Daphnia pulex: one gene and its partner. The protein of the gene in region 1 binds, or shares a complex with, the protein of each later gene. Links are inferred from orthologs where the notes say so. Each region holds a gene or a part of one and is shown in the gene's direction. Other genes may lie near its edges.

The links. The genes of interacting proteins can lie anywhere in the genome.
Region 2: histone acetyltransferase Tip60-like (region 1) and inhibitor of growth protein 3-like share a complex: the UniProt entries of both Homo sapiens proteins name them as parts of the SWR1-like complex. The link is inferred for Daphnia pulex from reciprocal best matches to the Homo sapiens genes KAT5 and ING3.

Annotation. Positions count from the first base shown.
Region 1 is NC_060018.1:12,583,382-12,594,459, forward strand, and holds histone acetyltransferase Tip60-like, read left to right. Parts: upstream 1-4,026; 5' UTR 4,027-4,077; coding exon 4,078-4,149; intron 4,150-4,211; coding exon 4,212-4,269; intron 4,270-4,343; coding exon 4,344-4,412; exon of another isoform or gene 4,413-4,476; coding exon 4,477-4,785; exon of another isoform or gene 4,786-4,852; coding exon 4,853-4,927; exon of another isoform or gene 4,928-4,999; coding exon 5,000-5,196; exon of another isoform or gene 5,197-5,258; coding exon 5,259-5,342; exon of another isoform or gene 5,343-5,404; coding exon 5,405-5,729; exon of another isoform or gene 5,730-5,793; coding exon 5,794-5,956; exon of another isoform or gene 5,957-6,023; coding exon 6,024-6,240; 3' UTR 6,241-6,327; downstream 6,328-11,078. Other genes in the region: glucose-6-phosphate exchanger SLC37A2-like, read right to left, coding at 118-296, 358-455; arginine-hydroxylase NDUFAF5, mitochondrial-like, read left to right, coding at 896-944, 1,190-1,329, 1,387-1,491, 1,555-1,866, 1,929-2,015, 2,084-2,228, 2,287-2,522; threonine aspartase 1-like, read right to left, coding at 2,538-2,978, 3,039-3,137, 3,200-3,383, 3,449-3,732, 3,792-3,893; serine/threonine-protein phosphatase 2A regulatory subunit B'' subunit gamma-like, read right to left, coding at 6,336-6,453, 6,520-6,647, 6,712-6,925, 6,990-7,126, 7,189-7,377, 7,447-7,615, 7,676-7,785, 7,849-7,953 and 1 more; transcription initiation factor IIA subunit 1-like, read left to right, coding at 8,432-8,455, 8,600-8,789, 8,833-8,931, 9,003-9,203, 9,276-9,397, 9,477-9,746, 9,817-9,924. UniProt on the Homo sapiens protein: Catalytic subunit of the NuA4 histone acetyltransferase complex, a multiprotein complex involved in transcriptional activation of select genes principally by acetylation of nucleosomal histones H2A and H4.
Region 2 is NC_060019.1:7,719,123-7,730,369, reverse strand, and holds the start of inhibitor of growth protein 3-like, read left to right. Parts: upstream 1-5,976; 5' UTR 5,977-6,109; coding exon 6,110-6,137; intron 6,138-6,209; coding exon 6,210-6,281; intron 6,282-11,247. Other genes in the region: thymidylate kinase-like, read right to left, coding at 1,493-1,606, 1,660-1,848, 1,920-2,010, 2,079-2,169, 2,239-2,256, 2,328-2,382, 2,456-2,527; uncharacterized protein LOC124190484, read left to right, coding at 3,641-3,953, 4,033-4,667. UniProt on the Homo sapiens protein: Component of the NuA4 histone acetyltransferase (HAT) complex which is involved in transcriptional activation of select genes principally by acetylation of nucleosomal histones H4 and H2A.

The DNA of each region.
Region 1 (11,078 bases):
GAGGAGGGAACATGAACATGTCACATGTACAAAGCATGTACATTGAAAATCTTGGAAACAACATGAGTATCAAGGTCACTTTAAATTTGAGAAAACATGAAATGACTAACAACTCACCAAATGGAGCCCAATCACACCAAGAGTCTTTGTTGTCATCGTCAATGTGTGTTCCAGGTGGAGGAATTAAACCACTGCAATTCTGACTCAAAACATTCTTTACAACACTGATTGGTTTTCTTGACATGTGATATGCTGTGTAGGTGAAGAATGTTAGTAACAATATAGATGTTCGGTATCTATGGAAAGAATAGAATGTCATTACGTCAATCAGCTTGGTGTTTTCAAAAATAAACTTACATGAACGGTCTTGATCCTCTAAAGTTTGGGCAAAAACAACTTCCAAATTTTCGAATTATTGCGACACCCAAAGGCACATCATGGGCGGAATGAGGCATTTTGTTACAAGTAGACAAGCTACACAATGAAACAAAGGAATGGAAATTGCAAACAATTAGATCTTTTGTAAGCAATGAAGCTTGGTAAAGTAAACACCAAGGAAGTTTCATTTCCTTACCAAATTTCACGAAATCAATAACTAACTGCAAACGACCAGAGTAAATAGTCGGACAAAACTTTAGCCACGTATACACGGAACGGTGGTGAACAATTTTGTGAAAATTTTGAAGCTGGTCTATGTTGTCATGGGATACACAGCAGACAACAGAGCCAACAGCTGGGATTTCTACTTCAGTGCCTCAGGCTGTTTCACGCGCATCTGTACACATGCATAGTCTGCTATGCGATAAAGGAGGGATCTGGGGGCATATTTTATATTCGATCCTCTTCTTGTTTTTTGTTTGCTACTCACAGCTATTTAGCTCAGCAACAACAAAATATGTCCATAAAGCGTTTATCACTACTCGTCTGTCCGACTCAATTGCAAGGTTACTATATAAATTTATGTATTTTAAAATTTAAGTGAATTTTCAGACGATGACGGTTTTGTTGTCTGACAGTAACGATAAGACCGTCATGTAATTGCATCAGTTCCGCCAGCTGCTAGTTGTATTTGCACAAGGCTAAAGTTAAAACTGTTTCTTAATACTCTTTGAGCTAACTCCAACCATAGCATATGGTAGGCTCATGTAAATGAACCTTACTTTAACTGATGTCTTGATTTATGAAATAGGTTACTTATATAATGGGACCAGAAGGATGAGTCAAAACAGCCACAACATGAATGTGTTTGATCGTTTGGCCAAGAAATTGCAAAGGGACCGAACTGCAAAGAATGAGGATTATCATCAATTTAACTACATCAAAGATGAAGTATTTAAAGTTAAAAAATATTTGTGTGGCCATATGTTATGAGATTAAATAATTTAGGTTGGCAACAGATTATCAGATCGAGTGTATGACATCAACAGAAAATTCAAAAAAGGCCTGGATCTAGGTTGTGGGTATGGACATGTGAGCAGACATCTAACAAAGGTTGTCAGTAGGAGGTTTTAATAATATTTGAGTTGTTTAACTAATCTTGTTTTTCAATTTTAGGATGCAGTGGAGGAGTTGGTCATGTGCGATCATTCAGCGTTAGTTTTAGAGAAAGCCTCGATACCGGAAGATACGACCATAAATTGTCGGAAAATGGTTGTGGACGAAGAAACCCTTCCCTTTGAAGAAGAGAGCTTTGATCTCGTTATGAGTAGTTTAAGTTTACATTGGGTAAATCAATTACCGAGCACTTTCTCTCAAATTATGAAATGTTTACGTCCTGACGGTGTATTTATTGGCGCTCTTTTTGGAGGCGAAACCCTGTACGAACTGAGGGGTTCACTGCAACTAGGAGAGACCGAACGGGAAGGAGTATGTTATGATTTTACTACTTTTTAATCGTTTAATGAACTAATTTGTTTGTATCACTGCAGGGTTTCGCTGCACACATATCACCCTTCGCTGCAATCCGAGACATTGGTGGACTTCTTAACTCCGCTGGATTCACCATGCTAACCATCGTGAGAAATATTACACCCCCAAAGATGTTATATTATTAATTTCGACTAACAACGGTGTAAAAGGATAGGACACTGACGAAATAAGCGTAGGCTACCCTTCAATGTTCGAACTAATGGAAGATCTTAAAGGAATGGGCGAAAATAACGCTTCGTGGATCCGCAAACTGCATTTGCATCGGGACACGATGTTCGCTGCGTCAGCCATCTATAAAGGTTTCTTGACATTTTCTTCTTTTTTCTTAGTTTTGCTAATACCCCTCTTGATCAATAGAACTCTATGGAAATGAAGACGGGTCTATTCCAGCAACGTTTCAGATTATTTACATGATCGGGTGGAAACCTGATCCTTCACAGCCTAAACCCCTCGAGCGCGGAACAGGAGAAATATCCATTAAAGATCTCTATCGGCTCGATGAAGTCGTGAAAAATGCCACCGAGAACATGGTCAAGCAAACTGCTAAAGAAATTACTCACAATTTGGAGGATAACGACGGGAAAAAGATGTAACGCTTGTTGTTCTCCTTAATTTATTAGTTTCACAATAAAGCCTTCCATAGTCAACCTACTGGAATGTGATGAGTTATTTGCATTTGTCGGTGTCGCAAGCGACGTGTTTCGAGACACCCGAACAATAGCCTTTTCATGGTTAGTGCTCATGAAACCGACGACCATCGAATCAGTTGTGAAGGCCATGTTGAAATCTATCGAATCTTCGCTATAATACGCCACTAGAACACCACCCATCCGGTCATAGACGTCATCAGACAGCATTTCTGAATGGATGAACTCGTCACACATGAGCTCTTTCAAGTGGAAAGCCGGATCTCCTCGCTCTAATATGGTTTGACCAAGCTTCTTGGCCAAGGTTGTTTGGATGAGTTGCTCGCCACAACCAGAAGTTGACACAGCAACACCACCGGAGCTGGAATGCTGCGCCCAACAACCACAGCCGTAAACTGGCACCTATCGCAATATACACATTGTAAATGACTACTAAAATGACAAGAAGGAATAAAGGAAAACCTGTCCAACTCGGCCGGGAAGCTTCATAGCAATTCCTCCCGAACTCGATGCACTTGCAATGTCACCATTCGTATCTATGCAAATTACTCCTACTGTATCCTAGATTTAAAAAATAACCATGATATTTGGATAACATTACTTTAGGAAACCAAATATATTACTTGACTTGGGTTTGGCTGCACTGTGATCTTTAGCCCACTTGATAAAGCTTTTCTGGATACTTCCAGCCGTTCTTTATATTTCTTATACTTTCTCATGGCTTTGTCAGATATAAGAGTGCTATTGTGAACAAGATTCAAACCTCGGTTTTTAGCAAAATCAGACGCTCCTTCTCCTACTAGAACACTAAAAAAAAGGCTGTGTTAATTTAACCACTCATTTTAAGTGATGCAAATGGTATTTTGAATTACAGTGGAGGTGTTCTACCAAGAAGTCTTGGTTCATTCTGGTATAAAATGATTTCTTTGGCTACCATTATAGGATTTTTAATACTTTTAAGTGATGAGACTGCTCCAAATCGTGTGTTTCTTTGATGTTTCAAAGACAACATGATTCCTGCATCACATTCAACTTCACCGCTCTCAGTGAGATTGGAGCCATATCCTGCATTAGTTAGTGGTGAATCTTCTAATATGCAAACCAATTCACACGTAACATCTAGTGCAGATTTTCCTTCTTGCAATAAAGCTGCTCCCTGGGAAAAACTTATCAAGTCAAACTATGAAACCATGAATCACTAATAGAAAGCCATGCCTTTTCACACGTTATTTTGCAAAGTTTTTTGTAAATAGCTTCAGATTTTGAACTATGGCAGCCTGCTCCAAGATGAATAGCAACAAATCCATACTGTGACATTTTTGCACTTTTATGGTTTAAATTTTGTCGAGAATTTTCATAACCGAAATTTCATTTTACAATTTGAAATGGGACTGATCGGTCCAGTTTGTGAGAGAGCTAGCAGAAGACTACCATTTCCAACCGGCAAAAGCGGCAATGTCGCTCATGGCCGCGCACTGTTGTTTTGAAAGCTTTTTCTCTAATGAAGACCGAACAGTCATTGTCAAAAATGAAAGAAGAGATTGTAGATAAAGATCTGTTTTCAGATTCAACTGTATGAATTTTTACATTATTTCATTAGAAACCATGTTTAATTTTGTTTATTCTATTATCTAGGCATCTGTTGTTGAAGGCTGTCGGTTGCCTGTACGGATGAGAAACACCGAAGACTGGCGTAACATTTGTTGCTTTGTTATCATTTTATAGATTTGAAAGTTTAATTGTGGTTTTTCTTTTGTTATCATTTAGCTCTAGCCGAAGTACTCAGTGTCAAAGATATCTGCAACATCAGGATGTTTTATGTCCATTACATCGACTGTAAGTTTTGTATATGCTATGTTTAACGATACATCATCTTACAAAATTTTTAATTCAACTCTAGTCAACAAACGACTTGATGATTGGGTCTCAGAAGATTTCTTAGATACGAGAAAAATTCAGTTTCCTAGAAAAGATGGAACTCAAGTAGGCACAGGCATGAGTACTCCTAAAAAAGTTGGAGGAACAACTGGTTCTTCCCGTCCTTCTTCCCCACTAGCTGCATCCAGTGCATCAGACCTTACTGTCAATGGGTCTGCTCTACTGGCTGCAGCAATACAAAAGAGAAATGGAAGAAAACGTAAAATTGGAGAAAAAGAAGAGCCCAGTCCAGGATCCATTATTCCAATCCCACCTGCCAAGAAACTTATAAGTAAAGTTATTTTATTTCATTAATTCTTTACATTTTTCATAAATTCTTTTAAATTTTATTTTTATAGAAATTGAAAAAGAATTACCAGCAATCCCCACTCTGCCACCCACCGTAGTTAGCGATAGTTGTGCTGTTCCTACAAGTAATTAGTCATTTTTTCTACAATCTATTTATTATATATAAATGATTATTAAAACTAAAATTTTCTGCATAGGTGATTCAGTTTGTGAGGTAGGAGATGCTAACTCTCCGGCCCCACCGTCCACCCCTGCACCGACTACACCAGGGCCACGTCAGTCGGGCAGTCTTGTTACACATCACGATGACGTTGTAACACGAATGAAAAATATTCAAATGATTGAACTCGGCAGACACAGAATAAAACCTTGGTATTTCGCACCCTACCCTCAGGTATGTCATCATCTAACGAACGTAAAGATCCGAAATGTTTACTATTCTTTTTCAAAAATTAGGAAATGGTTCACCAAGCTTGTATTTACATATGCGAGTTTTGTCTCAAGTACCGGAAAAGTGAAAAATGTCTAGAACGTCATCTGGTAATTTAAAATTTTACGATATATTTTTAATTGGATGATCAACCCTTAAACTTTTTCTACAGATGAAGTGCAATCTTAGACATCCGCCAGGCAATGAAGTTTACCGCAAACAGACAATTTCTTTTTTTGAAATCGACGGCCGTAAAAATAAAGCATACGCTCAGAACCTATGCCTGCTAGCGAAACTGTTCCTTGATCACAAGACACTGTATTACGACACTGATCCGTTCCTCTTTTACGTCATGACTGAAGTGGATGCACGAGGTTTTCATATCGTCGGCTACTTTAGCAAAGAGAAAGAAAGCTCGGAGGACTACAATGTCGCCTGCATCTTAACATTACCACCCTATCAACGGAAAGGATATGGAAAACTTCTTATTGAATTCAGTGCGTACAGAATCGTAAACCCAAGGGGAAATATTTTTTTAAAACCATTTTTGTTTACGTAAAGGTTACGAGCTGTCCAAGTTCGAAGGCAAAACGGGCTCGCCAGAAAAACCTCTGTCCGATTTAGGGTTGCTGTCTTATCGCAGTTACTGGGCTTTTACAATCTGTGATATTCTGATGAATATGAAACCATCCAGTGAAGGTGAACGTCCTCAAATTACCATCAAGTAAGTGATGTAAATTACTTCATTCTAGAGCTCACGTTGACAAACGAATTCGTTTTAATTTAAATAGCGAAATTTGCGAAATGACGAGCATTAAAAAAGAGGACGTGGTGTCCACCTTACAGCATTTGAACCTCATCAATTACTACAAGGGGCAGTACGTACTCATTCTGAACGAAGAAGCGATGAAAAATTGCATAAAAAACAAAGAGAAATGGAAATTACACATCGATCCCAAATGCTTGCACTGGACACCGAAAGACTGGTCCAAAAGAGGGAAATGGTGATGAGATCGCACCTACAATCCATTCCGCGATCTTGCTACTTCTTTGCTTTTTTTTAAAAAATACACTCACAATTTCTATGTACAAGAATTCCAAATTCAAATGTCCTGTTTCTCTTGGTTATTCTTGTCTGTTACGACAACAGCTTCACGGTTCTCGTATGTCCAAAATCCATCCAAATCAATCAAGATATTGATCACAGTTTCACCGTATCCACTGAGCCAGAAAACGTTCAATGACAATCTTATTCTAAAAAAATTCTAAATGAACTTTGTGTGTTACCAGTTAATCAAATCATGTAAAGTGATTTTTGACGGATCGGCAGGACGCACCATATCGAAAATCTCATCATTGACGTCGTCAAAAGCAACGACTTCTTGTTTGTGCTGCTGCATCAACTCTTGAACCCCCTGCAAAGCATTTTTTTTTTTTTCAAGATAAGAAAGTCAAAAGGTCAAATGAGGAAATTAATACTTTGAAGTAAAAATGGAGGTCAAAAGTGTTGAGATGGTTTCGATGATTGACGTCCAACAAACGGAAAAAATACTGAAGTGCTTGTGGTTCCTTTTTATTGTCCATGGCCAATACGAAATCCAAGTACGTTTTATAATCCATTTCTTTCTCATAGGTCATGCACTCCTCGAATACTCGTTGAATGAAAACTCGCGTCAACGTGCCAGTTCCGAATCTGAAAATTAAATTTAAAAAAAATCTTAAATGTACGTACTGCAAATTGAAATATGGTAAATTACCGTCTGAGCTCTTCCTGACAAAGCATGCCGTTTCTGTTGGTATCTAAATTTAAGTATTGACCGTAGACTCTCAGAGCGGAGGGCGCAGAAAACCAGTTTGAATCCTGTGCATCTTTGGGCAGCTCTTCATCCCGTAGCTGATGAATTATAATATTTTTAGCGAGAAGAATGACAAAAGAATCAGGAATATACTAAATACCTCTAAAAGTTCGTCCAGAAAACCAGAAGCGAGAATATCCTGTATCCTGACTTTGCCTAGCTTTAATGGATCTAGGAAAAAGAGGAACTTGCGTACGGCGGTACAGACGTAAAACGAATGGAATGACTTTTCAAGCCCTTCTAACTGTGGCAATGTTGGGATAAGTTCAGTTATGTAGTTCTCTAAATCCTGGGAAAAACAAAAATAGATAAGTAAATTACATATTGCAAAAACAAAAAACATATTGCTGATGTTCACCATTTCAGTAAGCAGACCTTGTCCTGTGGCATCATATAATGAAAGACCAATTCTAGTTTGCTGTAACCAAACTTTCCTCATGATGTAATTGAACACTGCCATGGTTGATATTCTGCCATGAATATCATTCTGCAATAGCCTTGCAAATACATCTGGTGTAAAGAATGCTCTGTATAGGGGAATTCAAAAAATAACTTGGTGTTCCCAATCAAATATTTACATGTCTTACTTATATTTTGGACCAGCTATGTTGCCTACTTTGAGAAAATCAATATAATTGATCATCTGCTCAGAACCAGCAGGAGGGCTGTGATTTTTGTCAAGTAAAGTCCAGAGATTCTAAAGACAGGATGAAAATCTTATTTACCAGTAGCACAAACACTGGCAATGACATTAACAAACCTGCAGTTCATTGTTATCGAGGAGTTCTTTGCTCTTCTTCTGAAGGAATGCTGTTCTAGCTTCTTCTCTCAGTTTAAGGCTAATCATGTTTTCATGATTAGGAAGCTGTGTAACAAAAACATAAGAAATTTATAGGGAATCAATTGGAAGTTATGCTTACTTTGGTATAGAACTTTGGAACTGGCATGCTTTCTTCCGAGCATTGCTTGCTATATTTGAGACCTTCGGAATACAACTTTTGGAAGGTATCTTCATCTTCGGCGTTTAAAACCAAAATCTCGGATTTTTCATCCATCTCGTTGATGAAAATCAACGAATACTGAGACTTAGGCCGCTAATAAAAACGTTTCTTGTTCATTCGATTCAAACGTGTCGAAACGATAACAAACGGCTTTACTTTTAGCAGAAAGAATGTTTTTTTCGACCGCTAGATGCTATGCTTAGCCAAAATCACGCTTCGTGGCGCTGCCATCGGGGGCATTTCGATATATATTGCCGCGTCAGTCTTAGTTTTCATGTCGGCTTCCTGTTGAACGAAGCCCTCCCGGAATTGAAATCAAATAAAATTCAATTTCGTTAAAGAATGGCCGCCAATCAGGCACTCGTGGTATTTATTTACCTTTTACTTTATGATAATATTTCATGGGGAATAGTACCTGGAAACTGTTGTTGCATTGACGATTCCACTCCACGAGCTCGATCTCACTCCTCGTTGGTCTAATTAAGGACTTTTATATTTCTTTTTTTGTAGTCGAAACTGTATCGTGGCGTTATTGAAGATGTTATCAACGGGGTTCGAGAGGCGTTTCTTGACGAAGGAATCGATGAGGCTGTACTTCTCGAATTGAAGCAGAATTGGGAAAACAAATTGCAGTCCAGCAAAGCAATCGACCCTGTGACCGATCCTGCTGAAACTTCTCTCCAAAGCAAACTGCAACAAAGTATCCAATATCGATTATGAGACTTTATCATGTATGAAAAAAGGGTCTTCTTTGCCGTCAAAAGCAGGTCAGCAGGCTAGCTCTACAGCTCCTGCGAACAATTCTACACCTCAACAGGCAGCCACTACGGCAAAGCAACCAGGTAGTTGGGTATACTGTTACATTGAGTGCATTATTATTAATTGTTTTGTTTGTTTGTTTTTATTTTCTCTAAAGCAGCAGCAGCAGCCCAAACCCCAGTGACTACCCCTAATGCAGCTACAGGTGCAGCAACAACAGCAGCAGCTGCAGCCCCTGCTACGACAACAGTAAGGACGGTGCCAGTCCAAATCACTGTTCCTCCTCAGGCTGGAGTAGCAGGTCATACAGCAGCCAAGAGCATCACTGTTCACGTTCCAGCTCATGCTCTTCAAGGTTATTTCCCAATTGAATCTCGTTCGTACTAGCTCCAATCTAATTTCTTTACTATTTGTAATAATGTCACAGGTGGCGCAGCGGGAGCGCAGCTGCAAACGATCCTGAGTTCACCGGCTGTGACGGCGGCTCTCTCTCTTCCAGTTGAAATGGCCACGACTGTCTTGCAGCAGCACATTAATAACGCGTTGCAGGTACCATTGGTTGAAATTGAATCCACTCGAAAGTGTATATAATAATGTGTGTACAATGCATTATTACTTTTCTTTGTAGTCGACAGCTGCACGGAGCCAATCGCGAACTGACAATGGAGGAGTCACACAGTTGGATGGACCCGGAGACTCTTCGGACGACGACGACGATGTTGAAGATGATGACGATGACGACGTGGAAGAAGAGGACGATCATGACGACGAGGAGATTGACGCAGACAACGAAGAGAACGCAGACGAGGAGCCACTCAACTCTGAAGACGATGTGACTGATGATGATCCCTCAGTGTTATTTGAAACTGATAACGTCGTCGTGTGCCAGTACGACAAGGCAAGGATTTGAATTTTAGCATTCGAATTGGAATTGAAATGTTTTAAATGACTTTTTTTTCTATTTGTAGATTACGAGAAGTCGAAACAGGTGGAAGTTTCATCTCAAGGACGGCATCATGAACATTAACGGTCGCGATTACGTCTTTCAAAAGGCCAACGGTGATGCAGAGTGGTGAAAATATTCAAGGTTGAAATTGCGCTACTAGGGGAAAATCAAGATAATGTTTCATTTAATACAATCCGGAGGAATTTCGCTTTCAATTTAAGGATTTTTCGTGTGCCTGTGCGTGTGCATGTGCGGAATTTCTTTTTTCATGTCGGGTGTTGGATGAGCGGTGGAGAGGAAAAAATACCTGGGGACAAAGAAACAAAAGCCATTCGTGTTTGTCCTCCCTCGCTTCTTTTGTTTCGTTTCTCTTTTTTTGTTAACACACAAAACTTTCCGAATTCTTTTTTTGTCTCATCTTTTCCCTGTTCGCTGCAGAAGCTGTTGTCGCCCCCTTTTGATTCAGGAATATTTAGAAGAAGAAGAAAAATATATGTTCAAATTACCAAGAATTGCAATTAGTTTTCGAGAAGATTCTAATAACGTGACCCAAAACTAGTCCAAGACCCAGGGGACAATGTTACTAATTACGGTACCGAAAAATTCTTGTAATCGTATACAGTTGGTGGTGGACATTTTCAATGTTAGTCGGAAGAAATCTAGATTAGGTTGTATACATGGGAAGTCATTCAGGCGAGCGTACGGGGACTTGAAAGCAAATAACCAAGTGGTCAAAAGCTTACATCCGTTTGCAGTCATCACCGGGGAATTGCTCATCCAACTATTGGATTCGGTACACGTTAATGGAGTTTCTACACGATAGCAGCGCGGTAGGAGTTGTTGGCGTCCGCCAAAAAGTTTCCTAGAGCCGTTAAAAGGCAACCAGCACAAAACTAAACGAACTTTGCTGTTGCCAGGACCTTAGGATTCGACCTGCTGGACTCATTATCAAAACTAAAAAAAAAACGAGGGGAAAAGTTTCAACAAGGACGGACTGGGGCGTTCTTCCATCTGCTTATCATGAAAATAAATTCAAAAATTTCTTTTTGAAATGGTTGATGTCACAGGGGAGGACATGTTTCATGTGAATGATATGACATGAACTAGTGAAATGTTTACAGTATATTCAGGATGGCTTTTAATCGCGTGTCACAACATCCGTTCCTAATGAGCGCTCCCAGTCGTTGGGGGGCTGCTGCTGCTGCCTGTAGCTAGCCGGATGGATGGTTCCATGTTTTTCAAGTGGTGACGACAAAAGACGGCCAACCAGTCACGCACATGCTT
Region 2 (11,247 bases), on another chromosome or scaffold:
TTCAGAACCTCTTGCCGATTGTCGACAGTAAAATTATACGTCCCAGCACATACACCCCAATACGCTCCGCTGTTTCTATATACTTTATAGTTGGCAAACAATATGCGTTGGAAAAAAAGTGAAAAAAGAAATTAAAACGTGGGCGGATGATCAGCTATACAGGTTTATAATTATTGAAAGCGCTGGGGTTTGCTACATTTTTTCTCGATTGATTAACCATAATGGCTTTATAAATTTAAAGAGAGGAGTATTTAACGTCACTAATTATTTTGCCTTGGCCTTCTACTTAGAATGATGAAATGTTTGACATCAGCCGCGCGTTCCTGGGTATACGAGCGCTCACAATGTCTCAAACTTACATAAGAATCGCGAGATAGAAAAGTTGTTTCACTGATTGTGAGCTTTCTTCGTTGGTCTCTAATATTTCCAAGTTTTTGTGCCATCGTCCTCAAGTCAGACGGGAACTTTCTCATTTCTTGAACTATATATTTATATTTGCGCCCATATAGCGCGCTTAAATATATCAGAGTAATTGGATTCGTTGCGTCTTCTCTATATCCTACAACTGTTATATATATGTATAGCTCCGCCCCAACCACCGCGCTTAATTCATTTGCCAGCTAAGCTCAACAAAGCAGCACACATTTAATTCCGCTTCGCTGATTTTCACCTCACGAAAAGGGCATTTTATTTTTCCCGGTGTGGTTTCTTTGAGTCCTCGTTCGTTCATCAGAGGGTCAATCCTCATTTCTTTGTTTGGTCTAGGCTTGTATAGGCCTGCAAACTTTGCTTCTTCGTATTCCAATTGAAACTTGAAATTTTGGAAACTACAAATAGAAATTTGCTCTCTACATTTTATGCCCATCGCCAGTAGGGCCTGTATAGTGCTTTTTTTCAAAGGGTTATGTTTTTACAATGTATAATGTATGAAGTATTTGGTGACATTATTGAAATTTTCAACGGTAAGGAGGAATCAACCAAATTTACCACTTAATCCGTTTATGATAAGAATGAATGAAATAGGAATCGGGTAAAACACATTGGTATTCGAACACATACTACTTTTTTTTTTCATCAGCGAAAAATAGTAATCTAATAACTGCCACTTGACTCGATAGAAAACGACATATCCTACTCCTATCCGATGGTCATTGGACATGGTGAATGTCCTTAATTCCTTATCTATCGGAACATTTTTGAGGCGCGCAGTTTGAACAAGAAACACAATGCCACAAAGCTATTCGAGCCATCTAGGGGAGAAATCAGTACCAAATCATCACCTATATTGGGAAAAAAGTCATCTGTGGAAAAGCAACTTCCTCCCGTATGACGAAAAACCTGGATCCCTGCGAAAGCACTAAAATACAGGATACAGTTCCTTCAAAAAATATGACTAACAATTTATTTTATTTTTAAAATTAATGGATCCGAAATACACTAAGGGCTTTCGTCGTTACACAAGTGGATAAACTTCAAAATTATTTGACACAAATTAAATCCACAGTTGCTTCAATGCGGAATCGGGTGTTATATTGCCCAATGCTTCCTGAACCAATCGACAGACATCACGCCCGACTTCTTCCATAGATCTGCTGGCATCTACAACCTGAAAATATAACATTATAAGGAGTATTCTAGAATATTTTATTATTGCATTACCCTCCATGATTCATCTTGAAGCTTCAGATAGTTTGATCGGACAACTTTCTGCATCTCAAGATTTTCGTAGCGTTCAGATCCATACTCTCCCCTAGTTTGTGCCTCAACGGGATCAATATCAAGAAATATTACCAGATCAGGTTTCAACAAACCACTGTCTGATTGTTGGCACCACCTTAAGTCCATGTTCTTTAACAAAGTATTAGGCAAGTTAGAGTTTTACAAGAATAATTTTAGCTGAAAATCCTTGTTATATATACAGGTTTTGCGGCAGAGAAGGCAATTCCTGAATATGAGTAACGATCCACGATTACATTTGTGCCTTTCTGCAATAATTTTTTAATGTCTGGCCTGTGTGTAGAAATATATAACCTAAAATGCATAGAAAAATTTAAACAAGAAAACTCAAAAAGACGTACAACAGTTCCCATCGATTGGCTGAAAAGAGCAAATGGATTGTATGATCATCTAATTCTGTGCTGCATTCCAAGTATTTATTGATAAGACTCCCTGTAAGGATGTAAAAAGAATACTTTCAATCTAAATGTTAATTAGGTTGAAATTGTGGTAGAGATTTACCAATGATAGTTGATCGATCTGAAATTTTAGAGGATTTTGAGATCATTTAAAGAAGTATATCAACATTAAAATATTAAACATTTCGCTACCTGGAAATCTCATTAGATGAGCTTCTTTGTTGCTGTCTTGTAACCACCTGATTGCCTTGTGGTATTTATGCAACAAATGCACTTTGTTTATTTGATTTTTAAGATGTTTATTAATACAAATGTTTTACCTTTTGACATTGAGTAGTTTTTCCTGACCGATCACATCCTTCTAATACGATGAGTGCGCCTCTTTTTATCATTTTATTGCAATATTAGTGTATACCTCTAAAATAAGTATAAAAATAACTTGTCGATGGCTGGAATAATTAAAGTGCGTAACAGTTAAGTTAAGCAGTAAAATCTGCTGATTTGACACTTCCCAAGAAAGAACAACAAGAACAAGAACTTGTCACTTTCGAAAACTTACCAGACGAGACCATAGATAAAGACCACTACTGGGGTAGTTCCAAATTTGACCGCTAGATTGCGGTGGCCTTTTTTTTTTTTTTTAATTTTTAAAATTTTTTTTTTGTGATGGATTCGGCGCGCCATACTATCTTCTTCCGCTCTTTCATTCGTGACCAGTCATAGTCATCGTGTCAAGTACGACATGAATCGTAATGAACTCGCACGAAACGTCAAGGTGGGAGGAATTTTCATTCTTCATTTTACTTAAAATGTTAAATTTACTATCATATTGCGATGGGCATATTCGGTCAGTAAAGTATGCTTTATGAGCCACATTCCACATATAGGATCTTCAACCGACTTCCGGTTTCTTCATTTGGGCTCGCCAAGTTGCGAGGAAGCAATAGCCTACATCAATGTTTGTATGAAGCGGATTGAAGAAGTCGAAGGTAATGCATCACAGTATATTAGTGTCTCGTTTTTATAATGAATATTCATATTTTATAACGTAGGAAAGGGCTAGGAGAACCATTGCCAAAATTGTCGAGCCGAAATCTGTGCAAACGAAGAGATGAGCATTAAAAACAGATTGAGTGGACAGTTGTTCATGACATATGTTCTCTGTTTGAACTGATGTGTCAGTATCGTTGTTGTGTCAAATTCTACCTGTCTGACACATGTTTCTATCAATCGCACCGTGGAAGCTCTGCGATCTGTGGCTCGTTTATAGAGCCAACACCCATCTAGGGTCATTGCACCAGGTGGCCCGATCACTGAAGCGCTACTGTATAAAAGGATTGTTTTCTCGCAATAAGAACTTAGTCACAGCTAGAAGTCGAAATTTGACACACTACTACGCCTCTCATCAGAGCTGTTCAGGTAAGCACTCCAGATTTCATAATTTCGCATAAAAAAACGATAACATGCATCATAATAACATGTTTTTAAATTGATGCAGGAGAACGATGATTTCGAAAGTTCTCGTATGCATTCTCGTCCCGTTTGTTGTGCTGTCGATAATATTTGATCCAGTGGACGCACAGGCGTGGAACGACGGTGACGGGGGCAAAGTTAAATGGCAATTTGATTGCGACTTTCCCGGCAATGATATCGGAAATCAAAGAGTTCCTGGCGACCAATGTGGCGGCCTTTGTATTAAAACAAATGGATGTAACCACTTTAGTCACTTTAATGGAATCTGCTATTTGAAAAAGGCATCAAGCATCCCTTCCCGTAAACAGACAAGCGGTTGGGGAGGCATATGCGGATTCCTAACAGGTGCACTTAAAGCATTTTGAATATTTTTGGTCACAAAGTCTTACAATATTAAATATTATTAAAATCTCAACATTTTTAGGAAGTAATGAAAATTCCGGCAATCGTAATGTCAAAGGCACTTTCTGGGCGGAGCAATCTGATGCTGGCGGATGTCAAATGCCGCAAGGTGATTACGCGGTAACCGACGCGATTGCTCTTGGACAATCGCAAGCACTCGGAAACCTCAAGTGGCGTCAAGGATTGTGCGGCCAAGTCTTGCGGATCGACTGCGGAAACGGACCGATTGATGCCGTTGTGGCCAGCACTTGCAACCTGAACAGCGATTCCTGCGGGGTGGACATGATCGGCAAAACCTGGCGACGAGCCACTTCGAACAAGTCACCCGGTATCGTCGATTGTAGTGTTTCGTTGACCAACCGAAACCCCTTAAACGGAAATGATGCCATCTGCTACTACCGTCCCAATTCCGAAACTACTAATAATTACTACGCAATCCTTGGAGTCGTTAACACCGGAGGTAGGATCAGTTCGTCAGCTGTTGCGGCTGGAGTGACAGGTCGCCGGAATAACGATGGTTGGTTCGAATTCAACGGATCAGGAAGCCCCAAATTTCAGAAGAATGCCGAAGTTGTATTTCGTTATGAAGATGGATCGTCTTCTTCTTTTCGGCTCAGCAACTGTCGAAATGGAGGACAAGTACAGATATTTCGATAAACGAATCTGGTATGAGGTATAATGAAGATAATTTAACTTAACTTAATCTTTGATTTTAATATAAACATTTCCCTCACTAGATATTTCCCTCACTAATGGAAATCACACCAGCGGCAGGCTACCAATTCGATTCACTGCTACGTGCGAAAATTTCTCTGTAAGCCTGAATGGTTAAATTCAATCTCTAAAAGGTTCTAAATACAAAATTGGACTCAAATCTACTGAGTGTTGTTAAAGATGGAACGAAATTTTTTCGTAAAAAGAAGGTGACGTCCGAACTCCGAAGACACGGATTTTTTAAGAAGGTTTTTTCGGACTTTCGGAGCCCAATTTAGATCGCTTTTCAGACGGCTCTTTCACATAGACACATGAGTTGAGTCAAAGACAAGACAAAGTCAAAGCACACATGTCACTTTTAATTAGTTTTCATGTTATTTATTTCAAATATTTCAATATTTACAAATTACCCGAAGGGTTACTGGTCAAAGTTTCGTTTGCAGTATGGTTTACATGGGCACCCTCAGTTCTCGTAACACTACATAGATGGATGCACTAGTTTTTGGCAATTATTGATTGTAATCAACAATTTTATTGCATTTCAATGGCAGTAATCGGTAGCTTACAATTTTTTACATCTATTCTGAAAATTTGGCTGCAATCAATTCAGGCATTTGATCAAACGGAGTTCTGGTTACTTTTTGACAGAATTTCAATAGCTGTTACAGCAGACGATAATACAGAGACATGTGACAGGGATATAAACGTAACGTGACAATCGACTACTATTGTATGATAGAATAGAAGTCACTGTATGTTATCACCGAACGCTATCAATCTCCAGTAACAGAAGTGCTGATAGGTAGTTACTTAAATTTAATTTTAACAAGATCCGGTGTGACGTGGGGTGGCGGGGCGAAGCCTCCGCCGCACCAAAGTCACGCGGAAATATTCTTTTAATCTCTTTCTCGATTTATGCTTATTACAATCTTCCGGAAACTAAGGGCATAAATTTTTTTTAAATGTTATTAATCCATCTTAATAATAGGCCTACCTTTATAACAGAATATTTTTATTATTCTATAACTATTCTATAGCTCTGTCTTTGTAAAACTATACCAATACTACTATACCAACTAGAATACCCTTAACATTCCCTTCGGGTACCTTGCGGCGTACGTACGCTGCCTACAGTATAACTAGGACTGGCAGTAGGCGGCAGTAGGCTAACACTAGACCAAGTGAGCACAACTCCTAGTGACCAAATTGCTCGCTAGAGGGAATCTGCAGACATTCACTCGCTCGCGTCATCACATTAGATTCCTGTAGATCAACTGCAGAAAAGAAGCAGTGATCCAAGCCATCCGTCAAAAGCGTATAAGAAAAAGAAAATTTCTCAAAACTTAAATAAATTTTATTGTCGATTTCAATCAATTTGTACCAAAATGTTGTACTTAGAAGATTATTTGGAAAGTATGATGAGTGTTTCAAGTGATGATAAAGTTCCCTGATTAAAATTTTTAAATTACCATCTCCCCATTGTAGTGATAGAGCATTTGCCCCAAGAACTGAGGGATCGATTTACTGAAATGCGCGAAATGGATTTACAAGTTCAAAGTAACTCTCGAATAAGTTGTAGAAAATGTAATAGGGATGTTCGGCGTGTCGGGCCGTTTACTTACAGTTTCCAAGTTGAATAAATTAGACACGAACAAAACCGTGTCTTTTACCTCTCGTCTATTTTAACACACTGAATATTGTACAGTAAATTGGGGGGGAATAAACAATAGGGGGGTAGGGAAACAACGACTGAATTTGGGGACCAACGACTGAATTTGGGGCCACCTATCGGGGGCCCCCAAGGCAATAGTCGCGTAGGTGCGCCGGTGTTGTTGTGCGGCGCCCTGATCTCGTCGTCGTCTGTTGGAATGGAATATTCCTAACACACTCCCCACCAGAGCCCGTAGCATCCGGCTCGACATCTTCGACGACGTCTTCCGGTTCTTCGGGAGCTGGCATAGCGTCTCCGATAGCGAGATCGATTTCTGGTTCTGGCAGAGTTGGATTTGGATCCTCTTCCGGCTCCTGGATCGGTTCCGGATTTCCAATTTCGACGTCTTCGGCGAGATCTTCTCGCAGCTCTATAGGGTGAAGACATTGAATGGCTCTATTAATTAAATTACCATTTGGAATCTTGAGCATGACAGAACGGATGAGTCCGTCGCGGCTTGGAATCAGTTCCTTCACTACTCCGGTAGACCACATGAGTCGTTTGGAGTGTTCGTCGTGGATAACAACGACTTCTCCTAGGCGGATCTTCCTTCCGGATTTTCCTTTGGAGTGGAAGTTGTCTAGTTGGAGTAGATAATCGTCGACGAATCTAGCACAGATGTCAGCGACATATTCCCTCCTGTTCTTGTCCATCTCTTGTAGTACGATGCTGGTCGATGTAGGATCCAGCAAGTTAACGGCTGGCTCCGGATCGGCACGAGTAGAACGTCTGTTGTTTAGAAATTGGTTAGGAGTTATCGGAAGTGGATCGTCAGCTCCTTCCCCAATATAGCTGAGTGGGCGGGCGTTGATTACGCTCTCGATTTCTGCTAAACTCGCTTCCAGTTCCATGTAGTCAAGGCAGGCTCGACCGTTGGAGCGTCGCAGCAGATCCTTGACGCTCCTCACCATCCGTTCCCAGAATCCTCCCCACCATGGCGCTAGGCTGGCGGAAAATATCCAAAGGGTTTTTCTGGACGCGAGAAAGTCTTGAATGATGGGATCGGCGTGAATAGTTCTCAGGAATCGGTCGACACATCGGAACGTTTGCGCGTTGTCCGAATACATCACTGAGACGGGTCCTCGTCTAGCTGCGAATTTTCGAAAGGCTAGTAAGAAGGAACGCGCCGTCATATCGGGTAGTAGTTCCAAGTGAACCGCTCGAGTGACTGCACACGTAAAAAGACAAACATAACTTTTAAGATGGTTCGTTTTCTTAGCTTTAGTTGTTGTTATTAAGATGTCTTGGATTTCGACATCTTCTTCGACTGAATCCTCTTCGCCTACGATTAGAGCTTCGATTGGAGCGTCTCCTTCAGCGGGTGGCTCCTCGATTCGCTCTTCAGTTGGATCGTCTGCTGGCGTCGGATCCTGGACGCTTGGTGGAGCTTTCCTTTTCTTCCTTCGCTGTGCTGGTTTGTACAGCAGTGGTCCAGCGAAATCGACTCCTGTAACGTGAAAAGATTGCGCATGTTTGAGTCGGTTTAAAGGAAGAGGGGCTGCTAGTTCTTGCTGTCGTCCTTTAACTATCCAGAATTTTTCTTTTAACTCGGATAGTGTTACTTTTGCTCCTGCATGTAGTAGTGACTCGTGTTTGTCTGTAATTAAGAAAGTGATTACTATATGTGATGCAGGAAGCAAAATTGGGGGATCGATGTTTCTATCTCTTAGGGCAAGTGATACTCTCCCATGGATTCGAACGAGACGGTCTCTGGCGTCCCAGATTGGAAAAAGTGCAGCGATTTTCTCCTTGGGCTGGATTGTGTTGTCTAACTGTAGCGATTCAAACGCCTTAGGATACCGCTCTCGTTGGAGCTGTCTGTAGATCGTTAGTTCCGCTTCATCCAGCTCCTCTCTGGATAATCTTGTAATCCGGATAACTTTTCCACTTCCTTTTCCATCTGGTCCAATTGCCTTTATCGACTCCATTCGTTCTGGACCGGGAGGTCTGAGCTTCTTTTGACTCCTGCTGAGGAATCGTGAGACCCAGGCTGTACGTCTTAACAGTCGATTCCAGGTGGAAATTTTGTCGAGATTCCAGTCGACGGAGGCTGTTGGAATTGCGATGGCTGCTGTTGTGCTGACCGTCGTACTCCTAGCTTCCGATTCCATTTCGGACTGGATTGTTTGTGGAATTTGGTCGTTGGGAGAATCTGGCCATTCCGTTTCTTCTCCTTTGAGCCAAATCGGGCCGTTCCACCAAAGAGTTGAGGTTACCAGCGTTGGCGCTGGCGCTCCCCGCGAGGCAAGATCGGCCGGATTTTGGAGACCTGGACAGTGTCTCCACCACTCGGGTTGTGAAAATTTTCGTATCGTCTCCACTTGGTTTCGGACGAATGGTTTCCATTTGTTCGGCTCTCCTCTAATCCATCCTAGTGCAACCAAGGAGTCTGACCAGTAGATAGTTCTCCAATACTGGACTTGCATTGCATTTTTTACGACTTCACCTAAACGTACGGCTAAAAGTGAGCTCAGCAGTTCTAAACGCGGTAAAGTTACTTTTTTCTTAGGTAGGGGTGCAACTCTCGTTTTGCTGGCCAGTAGGATGATGAGTGGATCTTCTTGTCCTTTTTGGAGTCGGGCGTAGGCTACGGCTCCATACGCTGCTTCAGAAGCGTCTCCGAAGACGTGTATTTCGTGAGAAGTGACTTTTTCGGATAGTCCGATCCATCGTGGAATTTGTAGTTCGGTGAAATCGGCGAGACCAGTCATCACTATCTTCCAAGATTTTTGGATATCGGCTGGCGCTGCTTGGTCCCAACCTATCTCCTTTTCCCAGAGCTTCTGGTAAATAATCTTTAACAAAAGTACAGTGGGAGATAAAAATCCAATTGGATCAAAAATCCTTGCCGAGATACTGAGTATCTTTCTTTTGGTGATTTCCGATCCCACTTCTTCTACTGCTTGGATGATGGATGCTGGGTTGAATTTGAACGAATCGGATCCGGTGTCCCACCGGATTCCTAACACCTTCTGTTGGCCGTCCAAGGCTGGGGAGAGTAGGCCTACGACTTGATTCGACAGTCCTTTCTCCTTCAGGTGTTGTTTGAGGTCTTCGTTGTTGGTTGCCCAGCTTCTCATGTTGAGTTGGGCGTCACTAAAGATCTCGTCCGTCTCATCGACTCTTTTCTTGGCGATTGATAAATTGTTTGCTCCGCCGAGGTAATCGTCAACGTACAAACTTTCTTCCAGCTGTTGAATAGTTTCTGGAAAACGAGACTTTAGTGATTTGAAATGTTTGTTAATTGTAACACGTAGGAGAAAGGGGCTAGAACTAAGGCCAAAGGGCACTCTCTTCCACTTGTAGGCAATAAGAGGCGATCCAGCCACTGCTGGATCCCTGGGCCATAAAAACCTGATTGCTTCAGCATCTTCCGGCTGCAGGGCGATGTTTAGAAAGGCTTTTTCTATGTCGGCGATCCAGGCAATCTCGTACTTTCTGAAGCGTAATAGCACTGATAGGAGATCGGGATTGAGATTTGGTCCGGTCTCCAACACGTCGTTCAGACTTGGTCCAAATTTCGTTTTTGCTGCTCCGTCAAAGACGGGTCTGATTTTCGTCGTTGATTTGTCGCCTCTGAAGATCGGATGATGTGGGAGATAGGTGTGAAGTTCTTCGTAGTCCATGTTCGCCTCCTCGACGAATTTGCTGTCGATGAGCTTTTGGATTTCTGCGTGGTAATTCACCAAGTCTCCTGGATTTTTTCTCAATCTTGTTATTGTGCTTTCCACTCTTCCGGTGGCCAACGGGAGATTTTTCTGAAGTCTCCACTTGTCAGTTGTCCAAGGGATCGGTGTACAGTATCTTCCATCTGGCCATCTCGTTATTTTTTCGTCAAAGAAATCGAAGCGATCATCCGATTCCACTGCATCAGCGCCTTCAAGGTTCGCAAAATTTTCTATTTTCCAGAAAAGAGAAAGGTCGAAATTAGCAGCAACTTGTTCTTCCTTCTCAAACCATTTACTATCTTCTTCTCCGCTGGATCCGATTGGGGCATCTGAGAATGACGCTCCTATTGGCGTAGTTTGGGGACTGGCCGTTCCAGTCTCCTTTTCCATCGGAGTTTTGTTTGCTTGAGTTGAAAGGATTTTTCTTTTTTGGCTACTTGTCGCGAATGTTGACGTAATCTGTGGAATCGGGTAACTTGATGTTAAAATTAAATTTTGGATTACTTGAGTTCCTGTCTTCGATTTTGCTTCTTGAGATGGTCCAGCAATCATTCTTCCGAGTTTCGTTTGAAACGCGCGCAATCCGCATGGACTCTGTATGGCGGCTTCATTCGACATGATCTGGAACATCTGGTCCATTCCGACTAAAATTCCAATTGGCTGATCTTCGGTGTGTGCCATCTCGAATCTGTCGTCGGCCAATTTTTCGTTTTGGATCCAGAGGCTGTTTGCAAATTCGGATCCTACGTACGGGCCGGTATCTGAAATGTGATCCGATTCTAAAGCCATTAGTGTAACTTTTGGGGCGCCTTGCCAGGTGCCCCTTACTTGCATTTCGACGTTTTTTGTCATTTCGGGCTTGTTGGGTTCCTTTTTCTTAAACACTCTTGTGCTGATGTTTTCCACCGCTACTGTCTTCATGTTAAGTTGCGATGAGAGTGATTTCAGCACCCAAGAACGATGACTTCCGTCGTCTGCAAATAAAATCGCTCTTGTTTCGTTACCGTTTTGGCCGCTGATGATGACTGTTGCCGTTTTCAGCATCAATTGTCCAAAGCTGCTTGCACAGGCTGTGGTTGTCAAAGTTGGATCGCTGGCCACGATTATTGCTGCTGTTGTGGGATTGGTGACTCTGACGTCTCCT